Mus musculus: one gene and its partners. The protein of the gene in region 2 interacts with the protein of the main gene of each other region in a biochemical or structural test. Links are inferred from orthologs where the notes say so. Each region holds a gene or a part of one and is shown on either strand. Other genes may lie near its edges.

Region 1 (4,236 bases), on a different chromosome or scaffold from region 2:
ACTTCAGCAAAAAGCTAACCACTGCCCAATACCAGAACCAAAAGGGTTAAGTCAGTGACTCTGATGGGCCCCTACTGATAGGCAGGGTAGCTCCGGAGCTCTGTACACACAACTCCCCCCTAGAAGCGAGTAGCCAAGTACAGCAGCACTTCATAAGAGTTTTCCTTTGGACTAAGTGGGTTCATAATTGGGCGGCAACTTCCAAGACAGTACCCATAAGTTTGAGCCTGTTTTGTATCTTCAAATCAAGTCATGCTCCATGCCTACCAGCACCCCATCTGCTTCCCCCTCCCACAGCAGCATCTGGATCCAAGGCTGCAATAGTCCTAGCCACACCAGAAAAGTTTCCTAGAGCTCTTGGGTTTGACATTAAAGTTTCAGTCAACACTTGGGAGTTGGAAGCAGGTGAATTTCTTGAGTTTGTGGCCAACTTGGTCTACAAAGCAAGTTTCACAGAAACCCTGTTTCAAGAAACAAAACCCAAAACTAGCAACTTTCCCTAGCTACCTACCTAGCTGACCTGGGTCTACCAATTAGGCTTCAGTATGACAGACTGAGTGAAGTGAAGATCAAGGCTTAAGGCTCACTAGATCCCTGATTTTGTTTTGAGATGGTCTATGTAGTGTTCCCTATCTCTGAACTGGACAAAGTATTGATAGTAAGACTAAAGCTTTTTTATTTTATTTTATTATTTTATTTTTTTTGGAGGAAGGGTCTCTACATAGCTCTGGCTGTTCTAGAAATTTCTATAGAGCCAAGACTGGCCTCAAACTCAAAGATCTGCCTGCCTCTGCCTTCCAAATGCTGGGTTTAAAGACCTGCTCCACTACACCCGACTTGACTTTTTTTTTCATTAGTCAATTTAAAAGACCTTTTTTCATTAGTCAATTTAAAAACCTACGAAGGACAGGATTTCGTTTAATTCACACTTGGGTTTCACACTGGGCATGATACTGTGCTGGAGGAAGAAAAGTTCGCATTAGTTAAGGTTCCTGCTCCAGTGGGGCTTACATTCCAATTTTCTATTTCGTCATAATTCGTCGTGGAGATGAGAAAAGCTAAGAGGGCATAGGCCAGCGGCTGGCAAGGAACTGAGCTGCGACTTACTCGCTGCCGGGATCCCACCGGCGGGGACTGTGGGCCGTTACTCCCGTTCAGAGGCCAGGTCTCCATTCTTGTGTGTAGCCCTCGACCCTGCTCCTCTTGAGTTCAGTGCTAACGCAGAGGGTTTAGCTCCGGGACCGGGCCAGCGAAGAAATAGGAAGGCGGGGCCGGCCGATAGGCCATCCGGCCGGAGCTCCGGCCGTGGGCGGGCCTCGGAGGGCCTGGCCACGCCCCCGAGCGGCCGCCCTGCTTCTGCGCAGGCTCAGAGAGCGCGTTCACGTCCCGCGGCACCGCCCACATCCTGGGGACGTCGGCGGCGCGCGACGTGCTTCGCCGGATAAATGCGGTGGCGCCGGTCGTAGGAGAGATTCTGTCCTGAGCGCTAAGGCTCCTTGGCGTTTGGTGGCGTCAGGTTCTGCGCCTGAGCCCGCCCCTGTACCTGCCTGTGCCATGGCGGACGAAGGGAAGTCATACAACGGTCAGTGCGGGGCCTCGGGCCGGGAGGCGACGCGGTGGGTTGGGGTGGGCGGCCCTGGCCTAGGCCTCAGCCCGGGGGCGGGAGGCCGCGAGGAGCCCTACGTCCGTAGGTAGCGGTGGCCGCGCGGGCAGGGGGCGCGGGGCGCCGCGGGACCCAGGGGCTCCAGAGTCGCCCGGATTCAGGCGTTGGAGAACCTGTGGCTCAGGGGTGGGGTGACAAGATTCCTTTCAACTTTGAGGGTGGTTGATGCCTGTCAGTTCAGTTTGGCGGCCCGACTCTTCCTTTAAATGTGAGTCAGTAGTCGCTTGGTCGTGGGCTACCCTGGTGCCCTATTTTTCTTTTTCTTTTTGTGATACGATCAGTCTGTTCTTGTAGCTTGCTGCTTATTGTTTATCAAATTTCTAGTCGGAACACCTATCCTGACATGTTAATTCATTGTGGTGGTTAGGACACTATGACAGCTGAGGTTTGAATCTGGAGTTGGCTGTACTAAACCCGAGTGAGTTAAACTTTCAGGCCTTGTTTTCCGCCTCTTTCATGTGGGTACCTGTCTCCCAAGTTTGTGTGCATGTGCGTGTGCGTTTGTGTGCGTATGAAATAATTTCTACCAAGTGCCTAGAACACAGTAACTGGAGTGGGAATTTTCTTCCGTGAACCGTAGTTTCACTGTCTCTTAATGTATTCCTTTTTACTAGGGTTGCTTGGAGAGGATCGTTGTTTAGAGGATGCTAGATATTAGGTGGATTTCTTTGAAAGTTATACCTTTTTTGTATTTGTGTAATACTGATGATTTATCCAGGCCTGAAAAATAGCTACCCAATGAACCTTTATTTTAATTCAAATATAATTACTTGGTCTCCTTTCTCTAGCCATTCCCATTGTCAACTCTCTCCCCAAATTCATCCAACATGCAGAGCCCATTTAGTGTTAATGTGTATATATTTGTTTCTAAAGCTTACCATTTGGGATTGGATAACCATTTAGGGAATTCATCCCTAGGGAAGGCTAATTCTCCCTTACAGGGTCAGCCCTAGTATCCCAGGCTGGCCTCAGTCAGTCTCCCTGTGTCAGCTTCCCAAGTTCGGTATTGCATAGACTTTTACTTTTTTTTGGGGGGGTTGGGCTCCTAGAGTTAAACTCAAGGTCTGGCAAAAAGGAAAATAAATAGAACCAAGTGTAGTAGTGCACTGTTTAAGGTAAGAGGATCAGAGGTTCCAGGTCATTCCCTGTGTGCCAGGCCTTCTGTTCTCCCACAGAGCTATAGACAAGGAAGGATGAAAATCCCTTGTTTTTTCGAGACAGGGTTTCTCTGTGTAGCCCTGGCTGTCCTGGAACTCACTTTGTAGACCAGGCTGGCCTTGAACTCGGAAATCCGCCTGCCTCTGCCTCCCAAGTGCTGGGATTAAAGGCATGCGCCACCAGGCCCGGCTGTTATTTTTTTGAGATGGTTCACCAAGTTGTCCAGACTGACTTGAAGTTTCAAATTCTGCCTCAGCCTGGGTGGTGTGTGTGTGTGTGTGAAGGATAGGATAGGCAAGCACATTGTCAACTGGGCTATATCCTCAGCCCTCCTTTTATTTGTTTTGTCTACATATATGCAGACCACCCACTAAGAGAGACAGGTCTCAATCCTGGTCTGGCCTTGAACTCTGTAGTTCCAATCCTCTTCTTAAACAGTGTACTACCACACTTGGTTGGCTTGTTTGTTTATTAATTTATTTATTGAAACAGTGTGTCAATGAGTAGTTCTCTCTGTTCTAGAACTCAATGAGTAGACCATGCTGGCATTCAAAACTCAACAGTTCTCTGCCTGCCACTGTCTGGGAATAAAGATATGGGCCACTGTGTTTGGCTTCTTCCCCTTTTTAAGGCAGGGTTTTAGCTTATCTGGAACTCGGAATCCTCCTGCTTCAAACAATGGTTATATTGGAGAACATTCCCTACCTCCTTACTGTGGAACCTGCACCAGTCCCTGAATCAATAAGTCCCTCGAGGTGCAGGCTATTTTTGCTCAAAGAAACTAGCATTTCCCAAGTTCCGAGTGCAGGAGATGGTAGTTGTTTTTTGGGTTTTGTTTTGTTTTGTTTTGTTTTTCGAGACAGAGTTTCTCTGTGTAGCTCTGGCTGTCCTGGAACTCACTCTGTAGACCAGGCTGGCCTCGAACTCAGAAATCCGCCTGCCTCTGCCTCCCGAGTGCTGGGATTAAAGGAGTGCGCCACCACTGCCCGGCGGTAGTTGTTTTTAGGAGACTTTAAATACGTCCTATTTGTAAGAATTTTTTTATTTTTTGGGATAGAATCTCATGTAGCCCAGCATAGCTTTGATTTCTTGTGTAATTGAAGCCTCCATTTCCCAATTGCCAGGATTGCAGGTGGTGGCCATAACATCTGGTTCTGTGACCATCAACTGTACACATAAGCAAAAGAATATGCAAGTGGCAGATTTTAGGTGGTTTTCAGGAATCTGGTTATATTTTGGGGTTGCCCATACTTCCACATTTTAGTTTTCTTTGTAGGATCTGGTTTCTGGGTGGTTTTGGTTTTCTTTTTTCTTTAAATTCTAAGGTTTTTTTTGGGGGGGGGTAATTTTATACATGTACACAGTTGTAATTGTATTCACCTTTCATTACTCTTTTTTATTTTTACATATTTGTT
Region 2 (4,152 bases):
AGATGTCATCTACTTAGAGGGGCTGACTTCTCAACTATGTCTTTCATCACTGTCCACTAAGCTTTGGTCTCCCACTTCTGTCTCCTGATGCACCCATGAGCTTAGGGATCCCTTGCTCGGAACCCTGCAGACCTAGAACAGTGTTGGGCACACTGCAGGCCCTCAGTACTGATCTTGTGAAGGAATAAATTCTTCCTTTTCTGTCCACCCCCACCCCCAGCTCAACCCACCTCTCTTCTTAACCTGTTCTTACCTGCCAGGGGCTCTCCCCCCCCTGGAAGCCCGCCCTCCAGGGCACCCCCAAGGACCTCATAGGGGCCCAGGGGGGCAGGGGCCAGGGGGAGTTTCCCATAGTCTACGAGCCAGCCCAGCCCGCTAGCTGGGAGCAGGGCCCTGTCCAGCTCCAGTCCCAGGGTCGCCAGGAGTGACATGGCTGTGACACAGGCACAGGGCAGCGACGGCAATGGAGGCTGCACCAACAATTGGGAGGCAGCGTGGAAGATTGTTCAGCTGGGTGAAGACAGGCACCAAGGCGAAGGTGGAGGACCTGTGAGGACAAGGGGACGTGGGTGGGATTGAGTCAAAGCGGCTTGACCCACAGGCTACACAGTTTCCTTCTTTCCGAAAATTTCAGCGCTCCACACATTCCCAGGGACATTATTGGAAACTCCCCTGCCCCATCTCCTCCCTCAACACAGAAACCTAGTGTTTTCCCAGGGGAATTACCTCTAGTCCCTCCTACCCACCTCATCTTATTCCTCTTCATAAAAATTTCAATCCCAAGGGAATTTCCTTCTAGCCGTGCCCCTTCCGCATCATTAGACTATACCCCCTTTAATCCACAGGGGTTCCCAGAATAATTCTGCATGCCTGGGCCCTTCATCAGTGTCACACACACAGATCCCGCTCTTCCCTTAAAAATTTTGGTGACTTCTAAAGATTCTACGGGAAGCTCCGCCCACCCTTCTGTCTGTCACAGTCAGTTCCCGTCCCCCACTAGCAAGTCCCTAGAGGCCCCGCCCCTGTAGTGCTAGTGCTAACTCTTTCTTAAAGGTGTTCCTAAAGCCTTTCCTGTCAGTTTAAGCCAGTCCCCGCCCCAGCAGGTGTCTGATTGGAGGGAAGTTGGGCCTGAGTCGGAGCCTCAAGCAAAACCCCACCCTTCCTCGCTGCTGGCTCGACTAGCGACGAGGCGCAAGCTCAGTCCCAGGACCCGATCCATTGTTACGCCACTACCCTCCTGGGGGACCAGTGCGCGTGTTTAGCCAATGACCGGCCGCCCGCCGTAGTTCAGGCCGGGGGTGGAGGGGTGGGGGGGTGGGGGAATAAGACAATGCGCATGCGCAACAGGTTGTGGGGTTGTCTCCTTGGAGGAAAAGGGGCAGAGGGTCTGTGAATTAGCGCGCAGGCGCAACGGCGCGCGAGCCGACCTTAAAAGCCCCCAAATTCTCCGGAAGCACGCCCTCCTCCTCCCCGCCCCTCGCAACTCGAGCCTAGTGCGCTTGCTCAGCGGATGCGCCGGCCGCCAGCTTCCCTCTTCTGCGCCTGCGCGACCGTGGTTCCTCACTTCGTCTCCCCCGCCCCCACCACGAGGCTGACCCGTGAAGCCCCGCGAGCTCTGAAAGGGCGGGAAAGGCAGTTGGCGAGGGAGGGGCGAGCGGTTACTCACTCCATGGCGGCGAAAAGGCGAGGAGGCAACGGCGGCGGCGGCCTCGGCTGAAGAGACGGTGTGAGCGGAGAGTGAAGGCGCGGTGAGCGCGGAGACGGGGGCGGGGGACACGACGGGGTCGCGGCTACAGAGCCATTGCGCGGGCGGAGGCGGCGTGGCGGGAGCGTTAAGGGAGACTGTGCTGAGAGGGTTGAAAATGAGGCGGCCCCGGGGCCTGGGGACAAATATACCGGGGGCGGCGCAGCGCGGGCTTGCCTGGATCCCTCCGCGCCCCGCCCTCGCGCGGCCCCGACGGGGCGGTGGCGACCCCGGGCCCGCCATGTCGCCCTGACCCTCCACTCTCTGCTTCAGGCTGGGGGCCCGGGCTCGGTCTCCTGAATCGGTCAGATCCGATGTGTCTTTCACACCCGAAACCAGCTCGTCTCGTTCTCTCTCCCTGCTTCACGAATTTGCCACCCGAGACCTCGTGGGTTAAGCCCATCGCCGAATGGCGCAAGCTAGCTTAGGCTTCATAGAGGAGTTCCAGGCAGCAACCGCGAGATAACGCTTCCCAAGTACTTGTAGAGCGCTGTATACGCGCACAGATATATCAGCTATGGAAAGTAGGCCACGAAGTCCTAACCACGAGACTCTTCAACATATTTTTGTTTGTTTTGTTTTAACATTTATTGTGGTGGTCAGAGGAGAGCTAGCAGGAGTTGGTTCTCTGACCATGTGAGTCCCAGGGACGGAACTCGGGTCAAACTATTTGGCAGCCTTTACCCACTGCTCAGTCATTGTATTTTCTTTTAGAAAAAAACCCTGACTTCACCTCTTTTACTCTCCCTACCCCAGATTCTTAGCCATATGATCGTTCTGTGTGTCCCACCTCCAAGGTTTCTGTTTCCAGCCATCCCTGCCGACCTCTAAGGTTTTGCCCTTGCTCTGACTTTCTTGCAGTCCTTGCTCTCTTGCTGACCCCACTAGATAATTATTTCTTGATCCTGTCCAAAATAGGACATTTATATTCCATTTAGTAAAAGAGTCCCTCTTGTCCTTCACCGGGGATGATGCGTGAACCCTGTTTTCTACCCCATGTTCATGTACATGGCTGGCATTCCATGTGAAAGTCAGTCAGTGTGTCATATTTGTAGCAGCTGAGAGACTGAATGGTTGGAGATAGAGCTCAAGAATGCTCGTCTGTTTTTAACACCAGAACCTTAGTCTCTGTCCAAGCACCACATGGATTGGGCTTGACTTGCCTGTATTCTCAGGATTTGGGAGATGGGAGAAAAGAAATCATGAGTTCAGGGTCATACTGACTGGCCTCAATGTGTTTTAAAAAGAAAAAGTCCAGAGGCCAGGCTTGATATCTCACCTACTTAGGAGGCTAAGACAGGAGTATTGAAAGTCAAGGTCAGGGCTGGAGCTGCTTTGAGATGGCTCTGGTGGTGATCTCTAAACTCAACCCTCCTGAGTTCCATCCTCAGGACCCACTTGGTAGAAGGACAAAAGCAACTCTAGACGGTTGTCCTCTGACCTCCACCACCTGTAGTGACAGGTCTACATACTGAGTAAGGGGAGGAAAAAAGCTCAAGGCTTGCCTTGACTAGAAAGTGAGTTCTTGGCTGTCTAGAGAACTTAACAAAGATCCTGATTTTAAAAAAATATGTAATGGGCTGGGGTTGGAGGTTGGTGGCAGAGTGTTGGCCAGAATACTGCTTTCCAGACTCTGGTGTCCATCCCTGGTACTGTAAAAGATTCAGAGCAGGTGGGGAATACTGATTTTGAAAGTTACAAGTCCTTGAGATAATTCCCCTTGGAATGGGCACTCTTTTTTTTTTTTTAGATTTTATTTATGTAAGTACACAGGTTCTCTTCAGACACACCAGAAGAGGGCATCAGATTCCATTGCAGATGGTTGTGAGCCACCATGTGGTTGCTCTGGAAAAGCAGTCAGTGCTCTGTAACACTGAGCCATCAGAGTGTGAATTCTTATCTTCTGCCAGTGTTTGAGCACAGGCGTGATTTGATGTGTTTAGACTCCAGCCCTCCCTTGCCAGCTATGGGCTTTGTTAAGTCCATGTGGAGTCTGCTACGAATACAGAAATGGGATGGACCCAGAGCTTCATGAACTGCATGCTAAATGGACATTCTACCACCTGAGCTGCATCCCTGGGCCCCACAGGTGCTGGTTTTTATTTGAAACATTGTGCCATGTTGCTGTGCCGGTGGTGCTCCTTTCCTTGAGTTTGGTATTTTAAAGTAAACTTTTGGAATAATCGAAAGGTTTCAAAGACAGTGCAGAGTGGGGGTACCAGCCCATAGTCTTCCCCATGGTACTTCTTTTTTCTTTCCTGAGGTCCTACCCAGATGCTTCCCCCGCCCTCAGATCCACCTTAACTCAAGAGCTGGTTTTCACATTTAGCTGCCATGCCCTCCCCAGCATGTGCACAGCCGTCACTTTATGGGAGTTGTGATCATCCCTGGAGGCCTGCCACCCTGAG
Region 3 (4,207 bases), on a different chromosome or scaffold from region 2:
ACATTCCTTGGATCCTTCATCCTGTCTCATGATTTGCTTGTGTTTTGTTTTCTTGGTGGGGTCAGGCTCCTGATGTGTCGCCAACAGGGTAACATGGAGTTCTTAGTGACCAAGCAAAGTGGTCTGGATAGACAGAGGATTTTTTTTCTCTTTTTTTTTTTTTTTTGGTTTGTTTTGTTTTTCGAGACAGGGTTTCTCTGTCTCCTGGAAGTCCTGGAGCTCACTCTTTAGACCAGGCTGGCCTTGAACTCAGAAATCTGCTGTCTCTGCCTCCCAAGTGCAGAGATTAAAGGCACGTGCCACCACTGCCCAGTTTAGACAGGGGCTTTAATCAAGAAGCTTAGCCTGGTTTTATCAGTCATCTCCAGGAGGTGGGGTGAGGCTAAGAGGGCAAAACAGAAGTATTAAAGAGTCTTCTGACTAGGAAGATAGGGGTGTTTGCAGCCATTTTCCTTTTCTGTGGTTCTGTGGGTTGGTAGCAGAGCCATTTGCCCAGCACAGGCGGGACGGAGAGGCGTTACTTCAAATATTTGTGTCACCCAGGAAACTGAAAAGGATATTGAAAGTAAAGGGGAAGGGGTGGGAAGATTATTTACAGTCTGGCCATTTAGGAAAATTACGTTTCGCCAGTTATCTTTCAATAAAAATTAAAGTTGGAAGGTGAGCTGGCTCCGTGGGTCGCTAAACCTGAGAGAATCTGATTTCAAGGCCCCCATGGTGGAAGAACTGACTCCAGAAAGCTGCTTCTCTCCTCCACACCCATGTCGTGGCTCATCCCTCCTCAACACAAATAAACAAACAAAAATAGTTGCCCTGTCTGCTCCAACAAAACAAGTAAACCTGGAAATCAAAAAAAGAAAACCCTCACGATTCTGTTTTTAAAAATACCTCTCTGTACACGTGAGGTTAACCTCTCCAACTATGGGCCCACCTTAGATGAGTGTTTAGAGTTTCAATAAAAACCTAGTTACCTTCCAACCAACTTTGGGATAAGTGGCTTCCTCTGAGACACAGCTAACTCATTGAACAAGAGAGGAGTGGGTTTCGCCCCCGTGGGTTGATGCTAGAGGAGCAGAGCTGGTAGCCAGGGCGCCTAAAGGGAGTAGGCTTTGGACTAGGGGCCTAGGGAGGGGCTGCTGGGACAAGCCAGCCAGCTCCAAGCTAAACCAGGCTCCCATGGAGGCGGGGTCAGGCTCCATAGGCCACATACACTTAGGCGGGGCCAAGCCAGCTGGGACCCAGCTACAACCGAGACCTGATCCTTGCCTGGCGCCAACTCCGTGTTCCAGAGGCTTCCGCTAGACCACAATTCTCAGGGGCTCACCCGGACCGCCTCCCTCCCTAACTTAGCCTCTCCTCCCGCGCTGCGAGCCGTGGCTGCGCCTCTGCGAATGGCATTCTGGGAAATGTAGTTCTAGCTAAGCTCACTAAGGCGTATAAGGAGCATACTGGGACTACGTTTCCCTGAGTGCAGCGGGACGGGCGAGGGAAGGCAAGGGGGAAGGGACAGTCGGTCGCAGACCGCGCTGGGTTGCCGCCGCCGCTGCCGCCATCGTGCCAGCCCCACGGGTGAGTGTTGGGGCCAGCGCTCCGGGGCGGGGGCTGGGCCGCAGGAGCCGCGCTCTAGGCCGCCGGGAGCTTCTGCTTCGAGGCCCTGGGAGGCCCCTCCCCTCTTCACACCCCCACGGCGGCCCGAAGAGGCACGGGGCCCGCACCATGTGTCGCGCGCGGCTCCGCCTACCGCGGATTGTCTGCGGCCGCGGCCCGGGGAATGCTGAGAGCCTGATGGACGGCTGTCCGGGCCACCCTGTGTCTTGGCTGATGGCCAGATCTTTTTCTTTTGTCCGGACGATCAGGATAGCTCTCAGGGCCCGGCCCTGTGTGGCCTTGCCTGGCTTGCTCGAATCCTGCAACCTCTGCAGGCAGGTTGGCGGGCCGATCCCAGACCCACGTCCCACCACCCGCCGGCGAAGATCCGGGGATGGGCAACGCCACCCAGCTCGCTCCAGAGCCAGCATGGGTAAGGGTGGCCCTCCTGCCGCTGCTGGGGCTTGGGACCATTGCCCGGTTCCAAACCATAGCCCGGCTAGGATGTAGGTGAACGCTTCTCTGCTTGATTGCCTGCTGGGAGTGCACGAAACTTAACCTCTACCTCGGTAGAACCGGTGCTGCAGTGTCCAGCATGGAGGACAAGGGCAGGGATTCTGGGGTGGGAGGGGATGCCTCGTGGGACTTTACCTCTAGCTAGTCCTGGAAAATAAGGACCTAGTATCTTTGGAGAGGCAGCTCCAATCTTATCCATGACTAGACTCCAGCTCTGGGGTGGGTTGTGTGAGCCTCCAGTGTTTTTGTTAGATTTCTCAGTCAGGGCCCAATTCTAAAGTACGTTAGAACCTCCTAGAGTTAGCAGGAAGATGACTCCTTACTGAAGTGATGAGGTCGGATTTAATTCATGAAGAAATGGACTCCATGCTTGAGGTTTTTGAGCCCAGAGAAGGTGGAAGGGGCCTTGTGCCTATGGCACTGGCTTAGACTGTTTTTGCCTTTTGAAGTTGTTTTGTAGATCTAGAACTAGAAGTCACGATGTCTGCTTTCTCTTCACGTGTGCTAGGGCTGCCTGTGAACAGTCAAGAAGCTGGATGGGTCTAGAGAAAGTACCTTAGCAATGGCACCTCAGGTCATCCATCACCTTGAATTCCTGGAGATGTAGTGTATTTGACTAGTTACTAGTAGGCAGGCTTTGAGAATGCACTTCTGTTTTGAGTGATGATTAGGAACTAGTGGAGAAAAGCTCCCAGGACTTGGCAGAAAGCATCTCTTGTCAGGTTGAATTCTCTGGTCTGTTGCTGGCTTCTGTGTCACAGTTCTTAAAAGGCCTAAGAGGTCCCAGAGACCTGGGCAAGCAGAGTGCCCAGTCTCTTAGGATGACTGACTTAGGGCCAGAAAGCTGAAAGCCACTATCTTTAGCGCCCCCTGCTCCCTGAATATTTCCTCAGTACTGTTGCTCTGGCTTTCACTTGATTTTTTTTTTCCCCCTCCAGTACAGTTCTCTGTCCAGTCATTCTCCCTAGTCAAAGGCCACAAGCAAATTGCTCAGCTCTCACCAGGGCCTACCTTCTATGGACTGACTCAGCTTCTTAATCTCTATTATAGCTGTTAAGCACATGGAAGTAAGGCTTAGCCAATAGGCTCTGGAGAGACTCCCTGGTGTGCTAAGCTAAGCAGTTGGGAAGGACTATCCACAGAACATAAAAGGTCAAAGAAGTAGGAGCCACTTGGAACTAAAAGCAGCTATTTCCACACTTTTTTTGGAGACAGGGATGTAACTCAGTTGATAGATTTCTTGTTTGATCACTAGCACTGAATAAACTGGGTATGGTGGTACAAGCTTGCAGTCCAGTTTACTTACCTACCATCATAGAGGTAGGAACATGAGGATCACAAGTTACATCTTCAGCTGCATGGGAAATTCAAGGTCAGCCTGGGATACATGAGACCCCGCCTCAAAGAACTAAAACCAACTCCAGCTTGTCTCAGTTTTAGATGAGTTGTGTTTATGGCTGTAGATCAGCTTGCATATTCCAAGCTTTTGGGTGGTGTGTGCAGAGGAGATATCTCTCTCCCTCTCCCTCTCCCCTCTTTTCATAGTGCTGGGTAGGAATCAAACCTTAACTTTATAAACACTAGGCTATGTATACTTTTGCATCTTCAGGATCAAAAAGATAGTGTTCAAGAAATTTGGGTTTCTCCTTATTCCTTAAAAGTTCTCAGGAATGGCTCAGTGGGTAAGAGCACCCGACTGCTCTTCCGAAGGTTCAGAGTTCAAATCCCAGCAACCACATGGTGGCTCACAACCATCCATAACAAGATCTGACACCCTCTTCTGGATTGTCTGAAGACAGCTACAGTGTACTTACATATAATAAATAAATGAATCTTTAAAAAAAAAAAAAAAAAAAAAAAAAAAAGTTCTCAGGAGCCAGGAGGTGGTGGCGCACGCCTTTAATCCCAGCACTCGGGAGGCAGAGGCAGGCGGATTTCTGAGTTCGAGGCCAGCCTGGTCTACAGAGTGAGTTCCAGGACAGCCAGGGCTATACAGAGAAACCCTGTCTCGGAAAAACCAAAATAAATAAATTAGTTAATTAATTAAAATGTAAATGGTGACATATGCCTGTAGTCCTAGCACTTGTGAGACTGAAGGGGTGAT
Region 4 (4,049 bases), on a different chromosome or scaffold from region 2:
TTTTTACTACATGTTGTGGTTCTGTGGGGCAGAAGAAATGAACAATATTATCAACTTTTTCTGCACTCATAATCCAAAGTTCATAGGTTGTTTGGCAATCTCAAGAAACTGAAACAGCCTTTGAGGATTTGTTTTTTATTTCACCAAGGAGCTAGACAGCAAACATTTTTACACAAGCTCACTAATTTTTCCTAGATCAAAGAGTTTTGAAACGGAAAGACTCTAAGAGAGCTAACTGTAGTCCCCAGTGGCTTGTAATAATCACTTAGTGACGTGTCTTAAAACTGTCAAGGAACAAGGCAGGAAATATAAATTAATAACAATGTGACAAAAATGTCCAAACACTGGGCTTGAAACCGTAAGAGGATCCAAAGAGCTGTTTTGTCAAAGGAAGGCAATTGGAAATTCATTGTAGTTGTGTGGTTTAGGAAGAAGGCAAAGGAACACAGTTTGCTTTGTTGAATTGCCTTAAGCTCCAAGGCATTTGCAGTCCTTAATGATTCTGACGAAACAAGGTCACAATTCAGGATCAGGAATTTTGAGGAAAAAGGCATCCTCTTTAACATTTCTGTGGTTGCTTTTGACATGCAAACTCCTAGCATTTACCCTGTTACCATCCCGAATCTCACAAACGATTTTGAATTTTAGGGTTATATGGTTCAAATCGAACACATTTGGGTTCACTCAGCTCAGGGAGACTGTCCGTTTTTCTCATCAAAGTACTTAAATTCATGGGTGGAGTCTGAATCAAAAAGCATTCAAATCGAACCGGCTCCCCCATTGTTTTGAACAGCCCCGTCTCTGAAACGCAAATATTCGCGTTTACTTGCTTAGAACTAACACGTTGGTCGTGTAAACTACCCTTTTCTGTTGAATGGAGTTAATTAAACTTTTCTAGACGCTCTGACATTCTAACATCGACATCACTGACCAGGTAGTAGACTCGTACTTTAGCGCTTGCCAAAAAAAAAAAAAAAAAAAAAAAAAAAAAAAGTAATCGACGGGCGTTTTTTGCCCTTCCGCCTTGCTCTTAAAAACTTGCTGGCTCTTGCCCCATAGGGAGCCCTTAACCCGGAGTTGCCTAGACAGGGTTGTCGCATGCGCTCTCTACAGTCATGTTTGTCGCAATGGACCTTGGGCGGAAGGTTACGTAAGAGCAAATGACTTTGATTACAGTCACTTGGTCGGTAGTCTTGTTACGCGCTACCTCCGCGGGGTACTTGATTATAACAGAAAGTAGTTCCGGCTTGTGTTGTTTCGGTCGAGGAGCCCTCGCCGCCATTTCAAGACAGTGAGAGGTAGATGTCTACCAAGAGTTCCTAAGATTCGAGTTCAGTATTCTGTGCCGCCCCCTGAGCCCTTCAAAACACTGATACGGCTGCTGCCTTTTTTCTGCTACTTCTAGAACCATTCTTGTCAGTAGTGGCGGCAGTAGAAGTCAATTACCCCTTGTTCTATCTCAAGAAGCTCCAGATGGCGTCTTCCGTGGGCAACGTGGCCGACAGTACAGGTACTAGTGTCCCATTCTACTCTGGCAGACGTCCCTTTGGGGTCTGGCGCCGTCTTGTATCTTTCATTACTTCCCTCTGACCATCCCCATTACATCAGTGGCATTACTGAGCTCTCGAGTTCTACTGCTATCTGATCGGGTTTGGTGCTGCCGTCCGTTCGTAAACATTCTCTAGTTGCTTGCTTGCATTTTGCTTGCTTTGGGGGCTTTTTCGTTGTTGCTTTATCCCATCAGTGTTGTAGCCTTCTCTCTCGGGACGAATCTATAGCACACGTGCGCGCTTAGTGTGTCTTGGAATGGGCTGCATTGGAATCTCTGCAATTTCTGTCTCCCGTCGCAACTGTTTTCTCCCTCAATTTCAGCCCGTCGCTCCCTCCCGTGCGCTTCCACCTCCTCCCCAAAGCCCCTTTCCCTTAGCCACATTTGGTCCTCCTTTGCCAGGCTAGGGCGGGGATGCTATTTCGGTGTAATCCTAGCCTCACTTTGCATCAGGCATGACTAGCGAAGGCTCCTCGGTGTGCTTCCAAGTAGCACCAAGAAGAGCTACTTGAGCCCGCACCCCGCCGGGGCAGCGCCTTGTGTTCTTGGGTTGAGCGGCCCCGATTTAGGTTGGAAATTTCCAGGGGTTCTCTTAGCCATCACCCAATTGCACCCGCTGCCCCAGTACGGAGTTTCCTACCCTGGTCAGCCCTCCCTGCTTGTTGCAACCACACCCTTCCTCTGCGAACGTGCCAGCCCGACAGTCGTTTCTTATCCTCAGGGAAGAAACCACCTCGGTGTGTTGCTTGGCGGCGACCACCCTGCCCGCCCTCCTAATTCTCTTTCTTTGTGTTACTTTCTCTATGTATTCCTCCGCCATGGCCTCTGGGTTTTCATCCCCATTCTTTAGCCCAGTATCTCTTTATCCATAGGGTGTGCATTATTATTTCTTTTTTAAGTTTCCATCCTTGCTTGAAGAGTTTGTAAAGCAACTGGAGTGTAGCTGCACAAGTGCAAAGCGGTTGCCTCTTTTCAACGATGCATCTCCAAGCCTTTGCTACAGAAAATAAGAAAACAACCAAATTGTAGGAGTGTCCTTCAACTGCCTTTCCAGATTGAGGCTGTTTGGGGCGGGAGGGGATGGGGAACCAGGCTGCAGCTCTAAGGTTCCCGAGAGGTTATTGTTTCTCAGTGTCTAGGTTTTAGTTGACGATTTTGAATATTGTGAGATAAATAGATGACTCTAAAATAGTATCTCATCCTTAATAGATGGGAATGGGATCAAGATTTCCACCTTTCTGTTTCCCCATCATGATTTTCAAAAATGTAAGATTCTGTCGTAGGTTTTTGTAAGAACTTGCTCTTTTCTGACTGTTAACTTTATTTGAAGAAATGGTCATTTCCAGTATTAAAAGAGCAGATATGTGACTTTGGAAAGTGATAGGTAATGTGCTAAATTTAGGAGCTAGAAAGTGCTACGTTCTTGTCTAACATGTAATTTTCTAGTTGATCTTCTAGCTCCAACCTCAGATTTGGACACAAATATTTTTGGTCTTTGTTTTTGTGGTTAGCTGTGCAGAAATTGCTCTGGTATGGGAAAGCCTGGCTCAAATTTGAGCTTGTCCCCATGACCTTGGTTAAAATTAAGTACCAGGTCTGTGGTTTCCCATTCTAATCTCTAGAGTGTTATCCTTGAATTCCTAATAATGAATTATTGTGGAGATAAATGTTTACAGCCGAGCCTTAGGCGAGCACCTGGATTTTGGCTTTTATTATGTTAACTAAATCAAGTCCTTCAGAACAAAAGCATTTTTTGTTATTTATTATATTTTATCCCGTGTTTTATATTATTGCAGCATTTAAAAGCTTTTCCAATTGTAGATTGTTGCCTGGTTATTGAATAGGGTTGTTTTTAATGTCTTAGTACTTCTGTGAGAGCCATGAACACAGCAGAAAATGTAAGGCAGCGTGGGTGGGATTTAGCTAATTTGGGCTCCTGAGTCCTCTCCAGAAGAGGAACAACGTTTGGGTTTTTTGTTTAAAATGTTTGGCGAACCCATTATGAAATGCTTTAGCCCTTGACTGCTAAGTCATCTTGTTTATCAGCTGCTTGCTTTAAAAGTAACTCTTTGGCTTTCAGCCGGTTTCTTTAGGCTGGCTCTTTTTAAAAAAGAAAGCTGTAAAACTCACAAACATCAATATAAAGAGTTAAAGAGACACCTGGTGTCCCCACCCACACCGAGAGAGTTAGAATACACTCCACCTTGAAATGTGAGATGAAGTATTGTTAAGCGATAGGTTATTCTGACAATAAATCCTTGTAACTTCTGCAGATTTCATGTTTAATGTTTTGTGTCAGTATACTAAGTTTAGTGATTTTAGTGAATCTTCCTATGATTTGTAAGAAAAAGTACAAAATGTAAGAAAGGAATCTTTTCTGGAAGTCAATATTACTATGGGGTTTAGAAAAGGAAGCATTAACAATGGGCAGATTTGAAAGAGATCAATTCTGTAGACTGGGTTTTAAATAAAATGCAGAACACTCTGGTGCTTTACATAG

What was found. The genes of interacting proteins can lie anywhere in the genome.
Region 1: the proteins of Nup62 (region 2) and Nxf1 form a complex in vitro, tested with the Homo sapiens proteins (3 studies listed by BioGRID and IntAct). The link is inferred for Mus musculus from reciprocal best matches to the Homo sapiens genes NUP62 and NXF1.
Region 3: the proteins of Nup62 (region 2) and Nutf2 form a complex in vitro, tested with the Homo sapiens proteins (3 studies listed by BioGRID). The link is inferred for Mus musculus from reciprocal best matches to the Homo sapiens genes NUP62 and NUTF2.
Region 4: of the proteins of Nup62 (region 2) and Ogt, one has a biochemical effect on the other in vitro, tested with the Homo sapiens proteins (2 studies listed by BioGRID). The link is inferred for Mus musculus from reciprocal best matches to the Homo sapiens genes NUP62 and OGT.

What each region holds. Positions count from the first base shown.
Region 1 is NC_000085.6:8,755,678-8,759,913, forward strand, and holds the start of Nxf1 (nuclear RNA export factor 1), read left to right. Parts: upstream 1-1,425; 5' UTR 1,426-1,554; coding exon 1,555-1,582; intron 1,583-4,236.
Region 2 is NC_000073.6:44,814,736-44,818,887, forward strand, and holds the start of Nup62 (nuclear pore glycoprotein p62), read left to right. Parts: upstream 1-1,352; 5' UTR 1,353-1,748; exon of another isoform or gene 1,749-1,923; intron 1,924-4,152. Other genes in the region: Atf5 (cyclic AMP-dependent transcription factor ATF-5), read right to left, coding at 254-431. UniProt on the Homo sapiens protein: Essential component of the nuclear pore complex. The N-terminal is probably involved in nucleocytoplasmic transport.
Region 3 is NC_000074.6:105,859,137-105,863,343, forward strand, and holds the start of Nutf2 (nuclear transport factor 2), read left to right. Parts: upstream 1-1,396; 5' UTR 1,397-1,569; exon of another isoform or gene 1,570-1,575; intron 1,576-1,738; exon of another isoform or gene 1,739-2,020; intron 2,021-4,207. UniProt on the Homo sapiens protein: Mediates the import of GDP-bound RAN from the cytoplasm into the nucleus which is essential for the function of RAN in cargo receptor-mediated nucleocytoplasmic transport.
Region 4 is NC_000086.7:101,638,813-101,642,861, forward strand, and holds the start of Ogt (UDP-N-acetylglucosamine--peptide N-acetylglucosaminyltransferase 110 kDa subunit), read left to right. Parts: upstream 1-1,238; 5' UTR 1,239-1,473; coding exon 1,474-1,510; intron 1,511-4,049. UniProt on the Homo sapiens protein: Catalyzes the transfer of a single N-acetylglucosamine from UDP-GlcNAc to a serine or threonine residue in cytoplasmic and nuclear proteins resulting in their modification with a beta-linked N-acetylglucosamine (O-GlcNAc).